Saccharomyces cerevisiae S288C: one gene and its partners. Changing the gene in region 2 together with the main gene of any one other region gives a genetic interaction. Each region holds a gene or a part of one and is shown on either strand. Other genes may lie near its edges. The genes, in order: KAR4, KSS1, ERG2 and OCH1.

Region 1 (3,587 bases), on a different chromosome or scaffold from region 2:
GACCTAGAAAAGATTTCTGAATATTTTCCACTAGAGGCTACGATTACTGGTATGCTGGAAATATACGAAACATTGTTTAATTTGAAGTTTATCGAGACGAAAGATTCTCAAAACAAATCTGTTTGGCATGACGACGTCAAACAAATCGCCGTTTGGAATATGGATGATCCAAAGTCTCCAAACTTTGTTGGTTGGATTTATTTCGATTTACATCCTCGTGATGGTAAATATGGCCACGCTGCCAATTTTGGTTTATCGTCATCATTCATGATTGATGACACCACAAGATCGTATCCGGTTACTGCGTTGGTTTGCAATTTCTCCAAATCTACGAAGGATAAACCTTCTCTACTGAAGCATAACGAAATAGTGACCTTTTTCCATGAATTGGGCCATGGTATCCATGACCTGGTGGGACAAAACAAGGAATCGAGGTTTAATGGCCCCGGATCTGTTCCATGGGATTTTGTGGAGGCACCTTCCCAAATGTTAGAATTTTGGACTTGGAATAAGAATGAATTAATCAACCTCTCATCACATTACAAAACGGGCGAAAAAATTCCAGAATCTTTGATCAATTCATTGATCAAAACTAAACACGTAAATGGTGCTTTATTCACTCTAAGACAATTACATTTTGGGTTATTTGATATGAAAGTACATACTTGTAAAGACTTGCAAAACCTGTCAATTTGCGATACCTGGAACCAATTGAGACAGGATATTTCTTTGATTTCTAATGGTGGTACGTTATCCAAGGGTTATGATTCATTTGGCCATATAATGTCAGACTCTTACTCTGCCGGTTATTACGGTTATCTATGGGCGGAAGTCTTTGCAACTGATATGTATCACACCAAATTCGCTAAGGATCCGTTAAATGCCAAGAATGGGATACAATACCGTGATATTGTGTTGGCTCGTGGTGGCCTTTATGATATTAATGATAATCTGAAAGAATTTTTGGGTAGGGAACCTTCTAAGGATGCTTTCTTGAAGGAGCTGGGCTTACAGAACTAAATTCGTTCAAGCATAAAATTATACAATTATTCTACAAAGTGTTATTATGTTAGATAATCTTTTAAATAACCTCGTCCCTGGATAGATTAAAACCATTAAATAGCTCAAATCTTGGAGTAAAGCAGCAGTAATATGTCTGATATGTTCGTTATATTTTTTCTTGAAGTTTATCAACTTATCCTTTACTAGACCATTTCCCTCCCCATCCAATCGTTGATCGATTTTAAATTTCACCTTGCATAATTTTATTAATTTCCATACACATTTTATCACTGAAATGCACGAGTAACACAGCCAAACTTTCCGTAATAGCCCACTTACATATAACTTATCGTTGACCACGCCTAGGTTTTCCAATACTGCGAAGAAATCAAGCAGCGAACTTACACCACTCCATATATTCTCCCATATATCTTTTGCACTGATTTCAGCCGTATTTTTCTTCGAAACCATTCAACTTTCTTTTCTTCTTCCTTTACTTTTATTCATCTCCTCTTTACTTCTTACCTCAGAGTCGAACATTGAAATCATTTCCCGCGAATTTTTCGATTATAATTACCCTTTCTACTTAACAAGAAGCAATAAGAGCAAAGGGGCGAAATGCTTGTCCCATACTTTGGCTTTTGGATGTGACATTAGGAGCCTTATCTCCTCTTAATGCCTTAAGTCAAAAAATAGTTTTTGGGATATATCTTGTGATCAAATGCTTTGCAAAAGGGTAAAACAGCGTTTACAATAGGATAGCCAAAAGTAAAAAAAAAAAAAAAAAAAAAAAGAAGGAAGTTAGTATCGAGCTCAAACAATTTTAGTTTTGCTGGACATATTTTCAGTTTCATTACTGTATATTTGCAGCTTGGTTTTTGTCGCTCTGTAGTCTTGTTTCACACTTCGTCATTTCCGAGTTTCATCTTGCGACATAACTTGTTTCAACTTTTCAAGTGCGACTTTTTGTTAAATATTATGACATAGAAGAAAGTAGAACAGCCATTATAAAACAAAAGAGAAGTGAGAATACTATTAAGATGGCATTCCAAGATCCAACTTACGACCAGAATAAAAGCAGACACATCAACAACAGTCACTTGCAAGGGCCAAACCAGGAAACAATAGAAATGAAATCTAAACACGTATCATTCAAACCCTCTAGAGACTTCCATACAAACGATTACTCGAATAACTACATTCATGGGAAGTCGCTACCGCAACAGCATGTTACTAATATTGAGAATAGGGTTGATGGCTATCCAAAACTTCAGAAATTATTTCAGGCGAAAGCTAAACAAATAAATCAATTTGCCACTACGCCATTTGGGTGTAAAATCGGAATAGATTCCATTGTTCCAACGTTGAATCACTGGATACAGAACGAAAATTTGACTTTCGACGTGGTGATGATTGGCTGCTTAACAGAAAATCAGTTTATTTACCCAATTTTAACCCAATTGCCATTGGATAGATTGATCTCCAAACCAGGTTTCCTGTTCATCTGGGCCAATTCTCAAAAAATCAATGAACTTACTAAACTTTTGAATAATGAAATATGGGCTAAAAAGTTTAGAAGAAGTGAAGAATTGGTTTTTGTTCCTATTGACAAGAAATCACCGTTTTATCCAGGTTTAGATCAGGACGATGAAACGTTGATGGAAAAAATGCAATGGCACTGTTGGATGTGTATCACAGGTACAGTAAGGAGGTCTACAGATGGACATCTTATTCATTGTAACGTAGACACTGACTTGAGTATCGAAACGAAGGACACCACTAATGGTGCTGTACCATCCCATTTGTATCGTATTGCAGAAAACTTCTCTACCGCGACTAGACGATTACATATTATTCCTGCAAGGACTGGTTACGAGACACCCGTCAAAGTAAGACCTGGCTGGGTTATAGTGAGCCCAGATGTTATGTTGGATAACTTCTCACCCAAGAGATATAAAGAAGAGATAGCTAATTTAGGTTCGAATATCCCATTAAAAAATGAGATTGAGCTGTTAAGACCAAGAAGTCCAGTACAAAAAGCACAATAAAGCATCAACACATAAATCCTTGCTTAGCTCAATTAAATATACTAGTAAATAAGTATATAAACAATAATTTTGCATTTTATTTTACTGGAAACTCTTCTCAAAACCAAATTGCGCAAGGATTGATTCAGTACAATTATGCAAACTCGAAAAGTAAATAAACAAAAAGATACAGTTGAGTGAAAGGTAAATAAACATTATTCTACTTGATTTTCCTCTGTTTTTTCCATTTTTCTTTTTTGTCTTTTCGTGTTCTAGCGTGTTCACTTTTTCAGCCATGTAATTACTTAAATAGGAAGTTTACACGATGTTCTCGCATAAAAAGCTGGAAGTGCAGAACAAAGAGGAAGAAAATAGGAACAGAGAATTTGTTTGTTTATTTGTTTGTTTGCTTGTTTGTTTGTTTGTTTTGATTTGAAGTCGAGGTACTTATTCGAAATAATTATTTTGCCCAGGGTTTTGGATAGTTTTTTGTTTTCCAATTAGATTTTTAGAAATATTTTATCATAGTTTTTTGTTTATTTATTTGTTTATTTATTT
Region 2 (3,523 bases):
GTCGCTAACATTGATATTGTTTTCTTTTAGCCTCTGAATGATCGTACTGACTGTAATTTCAAATGTATCAGCAGATGTACTTCCGTCGTACTCAAGGTTGGCAAGAGCTATCCAATCCTTTAATTCTTGATTGTTAGTTTGCATTTTGGACACACTTTTACAAAGGACTGTAAGGATGTCAGCATAATTAATTTCTAAAATTTGTTTTACCCATGTTGGCAATAAATGAAATGGGGCAAATGCTTGGAAGGTATTGTATATATACGCATGTTCTTCATAAGTCATTTGTCTTTTGATTTCACCCTGGTCATTTGGAATGATGTCACCGAGATTAGAGTTCTTCAAAAATCTGATGTAAAATTTAACCCATGTAGAAAAGTTTTCTTCTGATGTTAAAGTGTGTGGTGGTAAGACGTTATTTCCCACCTTTGTCTTAGCTTGAGGTATTTCAGAGTGTTGATTTTTTAAATCGATTGGATCAGGTGAGGAAGTACTCAGTGGTGGGATATACTGTGGCAACGGATAGTGTGGGTCCGGTTGATAATACGCAGGTGACGTTTGATAATGTGAACACGTCATCATAGATGGTTGTTGGTAATGTGCCCAGTTAGAGGCCATAGCTTTGTTTGGGGTCATCATGCCGTGCTGTTGGTACTGTCCATTCTGTGGAGGTGGTACTGAAGCAGGTTGAGGAGAGACATGATGATGGTTCTCTGGAACAGCTGATGTCCCAGGTGTTGTCTCTTGTTGAGAATTAACCTTAGTGGAATCTCTATCAAATTCCGGTAAATTGGAAGCTGAAACGGCTAACGGATCTTGATTTTATGGGACTTCCTTAGAAGTAACCGAAGCATAGGCGCTACCATGAAGAGAATGTGGATTTTGATGTAATTGTTGGGATTCCATTTTTTATAAGGCGATAATATTAGGTATGTAGATATACTAGAAGTTCTCCTCGAGGATTTAGGAATCCATAAAAGGGAATCTGCAATTCTACACAATTCTATAAATATTATTATCATCATTTTATATGTTAATATTCATTGATCCTATTACATTATCAATCCTTGCGTTTCAGCTTCCACTAATTTAGATGACTATTTTTCATCATTTGCGTCATCTTCTAACACCGTATATGATAATATACTAGTAACGTAAATACTAGTTAGTAGATGATAGTTGATTTTTATTCCAACAGTATTTATGTTTTGTCATTCTTTTCTACATAATCTTGAAACTAGGTAGATCTACAATTGAAAAGTAAATACTAACATTATTTACTAAATTTAAGTTAGAAATCGGCACGAAAAAAATTTGACAGATTACGAGAGTCCAGCCAAAATATGAGTATATTACTATTTCCCCTTGGTGAAAGAAATGAAAGATGTTATTTTTTACCGGCTTAGTAATACTGAGCTACTTACTTGGGGGAAAGAAAGATTGGCTACTTATTATGTATGAAGCCTCAGATTACCTTGAATTCCTCAACCGTTTGAGCAGTATGCTCTTCAAATTCGAACTTTTTGAACATCTTTCCTCCACATTCCTGATTTTTTCACATTCAAAACGCGCTGTGAAGCTGTTAGAAATTTACAGATCGAGGCATATTTCTATATATAATGTATTTTTATTAAGACACCCAAAGTACTTCCAATCTGTAGATATTGCACTTTATCTGACCAGAAGCCAGACTTGAACAGTTACATATTGTGCTTTGCAGTCGTTAAATTTCCCGAACTGTTTTCGTATTTTTTTTTCTTTTCCTCTTTTCCACTGGATCAGATCAAAAGCCGACTAAAAATTTGGCAATTTAAAGAAAGCATCTTTTAAAGATAGAAAAGGTTATTTCAACAAAAAAGTATCTTTTCTTCACTTTTCTTTCAACAATTCAAAGATGGCTAGAACCATAACTTTTGATATCCCTTCCCAATATAAACTCGTAGATTTAATAGGTGAGGGAGCGTACGGAACAGTATGTTCAGCAATTCATAAGCCTTCCGGCATAAAGGTAGCTATCAAGAAAATACAACCGTTTAGCAAAAAATTGTTTGTTACAAGAACTATACGTGAGATCAAGCTTTTACGGTATTTCCATGAACACGAAAACATAATAAGTATATTGGATAAAGTAAGGCCAGTATCCATAGACAAACTAAACGCTGTTTATTTAGTCGAAGAGTTGATGGAAACCGATTTACAAAAAGTAATTAATAATCAGAATAGCGGGTTTTCCACTTTAAGTGATGACCATGTTCAATACTTTACATACCAAATCCTCAGAGCCTTAAAGTCTATTCACAGTGCACAAGTTATCCATAGAGACATAAAGCCATCAAACCTGTTACTAAATTCCAATTGTGATCTCAAAGTCTGCGATTTTGGACTAGCGAGGTGTTTAGCTAGCAGTAGCGATTCAAGAGAAACATTGGTAGGATTCATGACGGAGTACGTCGCAACGCGATGGTACAGGGCACCCGAGATAATGCTAACTTTTCAAGAGTACACAACTGCGATGGATATATGGTCATGCGGATGCATTTTGGCTGAAATGGTCTCCGGGAAGCCTTTGTTCCCAGGCAGAGACTATCATCATCAATTATGGCTAATTCTAGAAGTCTTGGGAACTCCATCTTTCGAAGACTTTAATCAGATCAAATCCAAGAGGGCTAAAGAGTATATAGCAAACTTACCTATGAGGCCACCCTTGCCATGGGAGACCGTCTGGTCAAAGACCGATCTGAATCCAGATATGATAGATTTACTAGACAAAATGCTTCAATTCAATCCTGACAAAAGAATAAGCGCAGCAGAAGCTTTAAGACACCCTTACCTGGCAATGTACCATGACCCAAGTGATGAGCCGGAATATCCTCCACTTAATTTGGATGATGAATTTTGGAAACTGGATAACAAGATAATGCGTCCGGAAGAGGAGGAAGAAGTGCCCATAGAAATGCTCAAAGACATGCTTTACGATGAACTAATGAAGACCATGGAATAGTATTCACAAGAACATTTCTGCCATACTTCTAAAATTTCCCTATATTCAGCTTAGCAGTGACACGTTGTGGTCTGTAGGTCAATATGTAAGTAAGAAACTTCAACTCACATATGCACGATGCATGCCAATGGAAAAATGCAAGGAACGAAATGGCGCCACGGCAACAAGTTTTTTTTTTTCGCCAGCAGAAGTACACGAAATGCGGCTTCATGAGCCTCTTCACTGCTTTGCCTAAACGGGAAATGCAGAGAAAAACCAGCCATCGCGTGTGCTTGGAGAGCTGACGCGACTGTAATCAAAGAGGCGATATCAACACCTTTTATCCAGCACTATTCAACAGTGAATGGGCTCCCAAGTAAGTCTTGGCATTGTGCTTTCTATTCTTAAGTATTAAGTAGAAGTTTTGTTTACTGGGTTTGTTTATTCCTGGCTAGATGTTCGCATTCGTTTTCTAGTTGACCATATTTACCAAATATTCACAACTAATACCCAGCCAAGGTAGTCTAAAAGCTAATTTCTCTA
Region 3 (2,835 bases), on a different chromosome or scaffold from region 2:
GCCCGCAGTCTGTACATCTTCTTCTTTGAATTTGATAACCGTCTTCATCAATACCTCCATCAACTGGATCACTAAAATGATGAATATGGGCTTTCCCATGCTTCTTTTCTCTTAATCTATTAGTATATTCTTGAGCTCTTGTTTTCAGTCGCATTTCCTTGATTTTCTTTTCGTATTTTTTCTCCCTTCTGTGAGCCTTTCCTTCTTCACGACGTTGCCATTCCTCATCTAAACCTTCTTCTCCACCCCATTTCTTGAACGCAAAGGCTTCCACTTCACATCTAACAAATAGTTGCATTCTTGCAAATGTCCCCGAATGAGGGTTCGGCTTTTCTAGTCTATGAAAGAGATCCTCATCATTCAATTCGGGGTCTGTTAAAAAGTAATCTTCCTTACATTCTGTTTTCGTCAGTAGTGCATACTTTTCTGGATGCTCCTTAGAACACTGTTTACAAACTTGTAACTTGAACACATCATGTAGCACAGGATCCATCTCAATATTAATATGACATTCAATACATTTCGGCGCCTTTGAAATATGCTCTGGAGGAGGTGCATTTTCGTACAGCATTTTCCGTTCAAGTTGTTCCTTTTTCCAGTCCTGTAGTGTCTTCTGCTTTTTAGATCCAAACTCAGATTCAAATTCTTGGTCATCGGTAAAGTCAGAATTTGGAAGCTTGTCCTTAGGGTTGATATAACCACCATTCAAGTTCTGCATGGTGGCAAAATCGTACTCAATGTAATCTTGTTTCCTTATGCTAGGTCTGATTCTATCCGTTGGCCTTTTGTCGAGTACCGACGCATCCCTTTTACTTCCATCAACTACTCCGCTACCATAAAGTGAAGTAGTGTTAGTGTTAGTGTTAGCAAGCGCAGACGGTTGTCCATTATGATTTGGCACATGTACTGCGGCTGCTGCATTATCATCCCGATTGCTGCCACTAGTAACTGCGAGAGGCCGGGTTTTTAAAGGTTCATTCCTACTTTCTATTCGATTCAATTGGTCGCTACTCAGTATTCCCCTTTTTCTTAACCGTTCTATTGCTAATTTCCTGTTAGCCTCCTGCACAGCTCATCTCATCGTTAAATTGTTAGTAAAAAGAAACCCACGGTTAAAATACAAACACAGAATCATTTTCACACATACTAGTTTGGCCTTTTGTTCGGGAGTCATAGCGTTACGTTCGATACCTTCACTACGAAGATCCAAACTCTTTTTCTAGTTCCGATAAATTCCTTACCTTCTTTTCACTTTCCTCTTTTCTCCCTACAACTTAGCAAACGTCAAACATGCTGTAGATAGAGCTTCTATAGAAGTACAGTTATTCAAACAAAAAAAAAAAAAAAAACAAGGGTTGTGGAGTATGCCACTAGCAGTCTGCTATGTTGATTCTGCTTATTATCAACGAAGTATCCCATTATGATCTTATGCAATGCACATTCCTGCCCTTACGCTCCAGGGCAGAATCGAACCACGGCCCTCGTATAAGCCGCAAGGAAAACTACCGGTGCTATCGTTCTCGTTTGGATGATTTTCAGTATGGAAGAATTTGGATAGATCTGCAGCGCCATGGTATATAAGAGAAAGAAGCGGTAACGTTTGACACTGGGTTCAGATCTCTCTTGTCGCTCAATCAAACTAAGACTAGCCCAGACCATTATAGCCATGAAGTTTTTCCCACTCCTTTTGTTGATTGGTGTTGTAGGCTACATTATGAACGTATTGTTCACTACCTGGTTGCCAACCAATTACATGTTCGATCCAAAAACTTTGAACGAAATATGTAACTCGGTGATTAGCAAACACAACGCAGCAGAAGGTTTATCCACTGAAGACCTGTTACAGGATGTCAGAGACGCACTTGCCTCTCATTACGGGGACGAATACATCAACAGGTACGTCAAAGAAGAATGGGTCTTCAACAATGCTGGTGGTGCGATGGGCCAAATGATCATCCTACACGCTTCCGTATCCGAGTACTTAATTCTATTCGGAACCGCTGTTGGTACTGAAGGGCACACAGGTGTTCACTTTGCTGACGACTATTTTACCATCTTACATGGTACGCAAATCGCAGCATTGCCATATGCCACTGAAGCCGAAGTTTACACTCCTGGTATGACTCATCACTTGAAGAAGGGATACGCCAAGCAATACAGCATGCCAGGTGGTTCCTTTGCCCTTGAATTGGCTCAAGGCTGGATTCCATGTATGTTGCCATTCGGGTTTTTGGACACTTTCTCCAGTACTCTTGATTTATACACTCTATATAGAACTGTCTACCTGACTGCCAGGGACATGGGTAAGAACTTGTTGCAAAACAAAAAGTTCTAAGCTGCCCGACCTCACGAAATCAGTCATGCGGTAGTCCATTATAATATAACTATTATTATTATTACTATTACTATTATTATTATTATTATTATTATCTATTGTTTATATTCTCTTTAGCTTTTTATCACCTACGACGACGGATATATTCGGCGTTTGCAAAAAGTGAAAAAGGCGTCTTTTGGTGGACATGAACTCAATCTTCAATTCTTTGAAAGCGGTGTATGCGTATAAGGCCTTTTAACCATCGTGCAAAACAATAAAAGACTACCAATAACCGACGTGAATCATGTCTGCACCAACTCCATTAGCAGAGGCCTCTCAAATTCCCACTATCCCGGCCCTTTCTCCTTTGACTGCGAAGCAATCCAAGGGGAATTTCTTCTCCTCAAACCCAATATCTAGCTTTGTTGTGGATACGTACAAACAATTGCATTCTCACAGACAATCTTTGGAGCTGGTCAATCCCGGTACCGTGGAAAACCTGAATAAGGAAGTCTCCC
Region 4 (4,003 bases), 150 kb from region 2:
AACGGCTGACTGCAAAAGGGGAGAAAAAACGTCTAACTCCCGCAGTTCCGACTCAAAATCTTTTACAGAAGAGCCTGAAATTGGCAGATACTTAAAAGAGTTTATGAGCTTGAAGGCTATTTCAACAGGATCATTAATGTGACTGTCGATCGAAGCTAATTTATGGTAGGCCTTTAAAATAGCTTGCAAAAGAGCGTCTACGGTGTCTTGGGAGACCCGCGAGGCTGCAGTCACCAGTGGTGCATGGCCAGCACACTTCTGCATTCTGGTGGTGAGGGTTCTGTACTGCTTATATTGTTGCTATTGGTTAATTATGCCTTTTGTTTTCCTCTTTCCCTACGATCCTCCTTATATGAAACAGAAAAAACTGCCGCCGAGATCCAAGCAGAAAAAAATATATTAAGTCAAGGATCAAGGTGGCACACAGGGTAATGAAATTTTTATATTATATATATAAATAAATATCCATATGTCATTGTTAACGTCTTCCGTTGCTAAAATCATACGTCGTTATATACGTTATCGCTTTATACGTGTTAGCTCGATATCATTTGGGACGTGCCGAAATCTCGCGGAATGTTTCCGAAAAAAAAGAAAGAAAAAAAAAAAGGGGCAGGCCCCACAAAGGGGCGCCGCGTGGTGTTACGTACTGGAAAAGTGAATTATGAAAAAAAAGTTCTTCAAGGGGCAGGGGTTTCCGTTTGGCCCACTATGTATGTGTCTCCAGATACGATTATGATGTGCTAATAGTTATTAATAAAACTATATATATATATATTACTCATATATATATTTTCATATACAATGTACTCTTAACTGGTACCTGGTTGGATGCAATAGGTGAGGAAACCTTCAAACAAAACTTTCTTTTACGATTATCTATATCTTTGTTAGAAAGAATAAAATACAGTACAAAAATGAAGACTTTAATTGTTGTTGATATGCAAAATGATTTTATTTCACCTTTAGGTTCCTTGACTGTTCCAAAAGGTGAGGAATTAATCAATCCTATCTCGGATTTGATGCAAGATGCTGATAGAGACTGGCACAGGATTGTGGTCACCAGAGATTGGCACCCTTCCAGACATATTTCGTTCGCAAAGAACCATAAAGATAAAGAACCCTATTCAACATACACCTACCACTCTCCAAGGCCAGGCGATGATTCCACGCAAGAGGGTATTTTGTGGCCCGTACACTGTGTGAAAAACACCTGGGGTAGTCAATTGGTTGACCAAATAATGGACCAAGTGGTCACTAAGCATATTAAGATTGTCGACAAGGGTTTCTTGACTGACCGTGAATACTACTCCGCCTTCCACGACATCTGGAACTTCCATAAGACCGACATGAACAAGTACTTAGAAAAGCATCATACAGACGAGGTTTACATTGTCGGTGTAGCTTTGGAGTATTGTGTCAAAGCCACCGCCATTTCCGCTGCAGAACTAGGTTATAAGACCACTGTCCTGCTGGATTACACAAGACCCATCAGCGATGATCCCGAAGTCATCAATAAGGTTAAGGAAGAGTTGAAGGCCCACAACATCAATGTCGTGGATAAATAAGAGCTGAATAATACTTCTTCAACCTGATGAACTAGGGTGGCTTGCAAATGCACAAATCTATATAACAATATCTATATATATGTATGTACACCGAATTCCGACATATGGAGAAGGAATAATAAAATATTAACTAACGTCTTTACGCCTCTCTTTATTCTTTTTTGGGTAAATTGCTTAAACTATTTGGCCGGCCCACCGCGAAAAGATTTGGCTGGGCCTCAACTAAACGCGCCTTTTTGGACTTTTCACGTTGCAGGGACAGCAACGTCAAAACTTCTGCATTAAGGTAGTTTGGTAGCTTGGTAGCCACTTTAGTATTTCTGCCTTCTTCGAATACCGACATTATTTCTCGCCAATCCACATTCTCTCTCCCCATCTGCATCCTTTTATATTTAATAGGGATAGGTTGTTTTAGTTCTTTGATTCCGTTTTCATTTCAAGAGCAATAATAGCAATTTGGAAAAAGAAAGCAAGTAAAAGAAAGAAGAGATCATGTCTAGGAAGTTGTCCCACCTGATCGCTACAAGGAAATCAAAAACAATAGTCGTAACCGTACTTCTTATTTATTCTTTGTTGACATTTCACTTGTCAAACAAAAGGCTGCTTTCTCAGTTTTACCCTAGCAAAGATGATTTCAAGCAAACTCTTCTCCCTACGACTTCTCATTCACAAGATATAAATTTGAAGAAACAAATTACAGTTAACAAGAAAAAAAATCAATTGCATAATTTACGTGATCAATTATCGTTTGCGTTTCCCTACGACTCTCAGGCCCCCATCCCGCAAAGGGTGTGGCAGACCTGGAAAGTCGGCGCAGATGATAAGAATTTTCCCTCTTCGTTCAGAACCTATCAAAAAACATGGTCTGGTTCGTATTCACCGGATTACCAATATTCTCTGATTTCGGATGATTCTATTATCCCTTTTTTGGAGAATCTTTACGCACCCGTTCCGATAGTCATCCAAGCGTTTAAATTGATGCCTGGAAATATCCTAAAGGCAGATTTTTTAAGGTACCTATTATTATTTGCAAGAGGTGGTATTTACTCAGATATGGATACTATGCTTTTGAAGCCAATTGATTCATGGCCTTCTCAGAATAAGTCATGGCTAAACAACATAATAGATTTGAATAAACCTATTCCTTATAAGAACTCAAAGCCCTCACTTCTCTCAAGTGATGAGATATCACACCAGCCAGGTTTGGTCATCGGCATTGAGGCAGATCCGGACAGAGATGATTGGAGTGAATGGTATGCTCGTAGGATCCAGTTTTGTCAATGGACTATCCAAGCCAAACCAGGTCACCCAATTCTAAGAGAATTGATCTTAAATATTACTGCAACGACTTTGGCGAGCGTACAAAACCCAGGAGTTCCTGTCAGTGAAATGATTGATCCAAGATTTGAAGAAGACTACAACGTAAACTATAGGCACAAAAGACGTCATGATGAGACCTACAAACACTCCGAATTGAAAAATAACAAAAATGTTGATGGCTCAGATATAATGAATTGGACGGGTCCAGGTATTTTCTCCGACATTATTTTCGAATACATGAACAATGTGCTCCGATACAATAGCGATATCTTGTTAATCAACCCAAACCTAAACAAGAACGACGAAGAAGGTAGTGAGAGTGCCACCACACCAGCAAAAGATGTTGATAACGATACGCTGTCCAAATCAACAAGAAAATTTTATAAGAAAATATCAGAGTCTTTGCAATCGTCAAATTCAATGCCCTGGGAATTCTTCTCTTTTTTGAAAGAACCAGTTATCGTTGATGATGTGATGGTTCTACCAATAACAAGTTTTTCACCAGATGTGGGGCAGATGGGCGCCCAGTCTAGTGACGACAAAATGGCTTTTGTAAAGCACATGTTTAGCGGGAGCTGGAAAGAAGATGCTGATAAAAATGCAGGTCATAAATAACGAGGCTCTCCTTTCATCATACCCTCTCTAAATAAAATTTATTCCTAGTTATTCCTTTCTTCTTCATATCCTTAATCATGCATTCACTGCCATGTGCAAATAAAGGCTCTTGTGGTAGAAACTTTTAGCTCAAACGTGGTAAAACTATCTCAACGTCCTTCCGTAGACAACTGGTGAGCAGTGCTTCTGTAACACTGCAGATCTCCAATGATAAATCGATACCGTACTAACTGCCCGCACTATAATGAACTCTTTGTATCCGTAACTATTTAAAATATTCATTCATTTCTATAAGCTATATGTTTATATTTAGATTAGAGGGGTTAAAAGAAAGTTTTTCTCGAAAGCTTAATTTTAGCTTTTACTTTGAACTTCTAGTAATTGCGAGGCAGTATCGACAATGCAATCTCTGAACTTATTAAATTGGAATCCTAATAAATTTTTGGTTTTGCGGTTGTCGCACTTGCAGCAGTTTTTTGTCAAAAAGGTTGAGCCGCTAC

What was found.
Region 1: mutations in KSS1 (region 2) and KAR4 together harm fitness more than expected from each alone (negative genetic interaction), as found in Saccharomyces cerevisiae (2 studies listed by BioGRID).
Region 3: mutations in KSS1 (region 2) and ERG2 together harm fitness more than expected from each alone (negative genetic interaction), as found in Saccharomyces cerevisiae (2 studies listed by BioGRID).
Region 4: of KSS1 (region 2) and OCH1, extra expression of one is lethal in a mutant of the other (dosage lethality), as found in Saccharomyces cerevisiae (one study listed by BioGRID).

What each region holds. Positions count from the first base shown.
Region 1 is NC_001135.5:25,887-29,473, forward strand, and holds KAR4 (Kar4p), read left to right. Parts: upstream 1-2,042; coding exon 2,043-3,050; downstream 3,051-3,587. Other genes in the region: PRD1 (metalloendopeptidase), read left to right, coding at 1-1,020; PEX34 (Pex34p), read right to left, coding at 1,039-1,473. UniProt on the Saccharomyces cerevisiae protein: Component of the MIS complex, a complex that mediates N6-methyladenosine (m6A) methylation of meiotic mRNAs and is required for initiation of meiosis, progression through the meiotic divisions and sporulation.
Region 2 is NC_001139.9:573,504-577,026, forward strand, and holds KSS1 (mitogen-activated serine/threonine-protein kinase KSS1), read left to right. Parts: upstream 1-1,894; coding exon 1,895-3,001; downstream 3,002-3,523. Other genes in the region: YGR039W (uncharacterized protein), read left to right, coding at 1,385-1,696. UniProt on the Saccharomyces cerevisiae protein: Together with closely related FUS3, KSS1 is the final kinase in the signal transduction cascade regulating activation/repression of the mating and filamentation pathways, induced by pheromone and nitrogen/carbon limitation, respectively.
Region 3 is NC_001145.3:665,871-668,705, forward strand, and holds ERG2 (C-8 sterol isomerase ERG2), read left to right. Parts: upstream 1-1,666; coding exon 1,667-2,335; downstream 2,336-2,835. Other genes in the region: DNA repair protein RAD14, read right to left, coding at 1-1,063, 1,148-1,174; TOM complex pore protein TOM40, read left to right, coding at 2,622-2,835. UniProt on the Saccharomyces cerevisiae protein: C-8 sterol isomerase; part of the third module of ergosterol biosynthesis pathway that includes the late steps of the pathway. ERG2 catalyzes the reaction which results in unsaturation at C-7 in the B ring of sterols and thus converts fecosterol to episterol.
Region 4 is NC_001139.9:424,862-428,864, reverse strand, and holds OCH1 (initiation-specific alpha-1,6-mannosyltransferase), read left to right. Parts: upstream 1-2,060; coding exon 2,061-3,503; downstream 3,504-4,003. Other genes in the region: VIR1 (Vir1p), read right to left, coding at 1-264; PNC1 (nicotinamidase), read left to right, coding at 918-1,568; YGL039W (carbonyl reductase (NADPH-dependent)), read right to left, coding at 3,858-4,003. UniProt on the Saccharomyces cerevisiae protein: Mannosyltransferase involved in outer chain elongation of asparagine-linked oligosaccharides of the type Man(9)GlcNAc(2). Adds the first alpha-1,6-mannose to the Man(8)GlcNAc(2) and Man(9)GlcNAc(2), but not Man(5)GlcNAc(2), endoplasmic reticulum intermediates.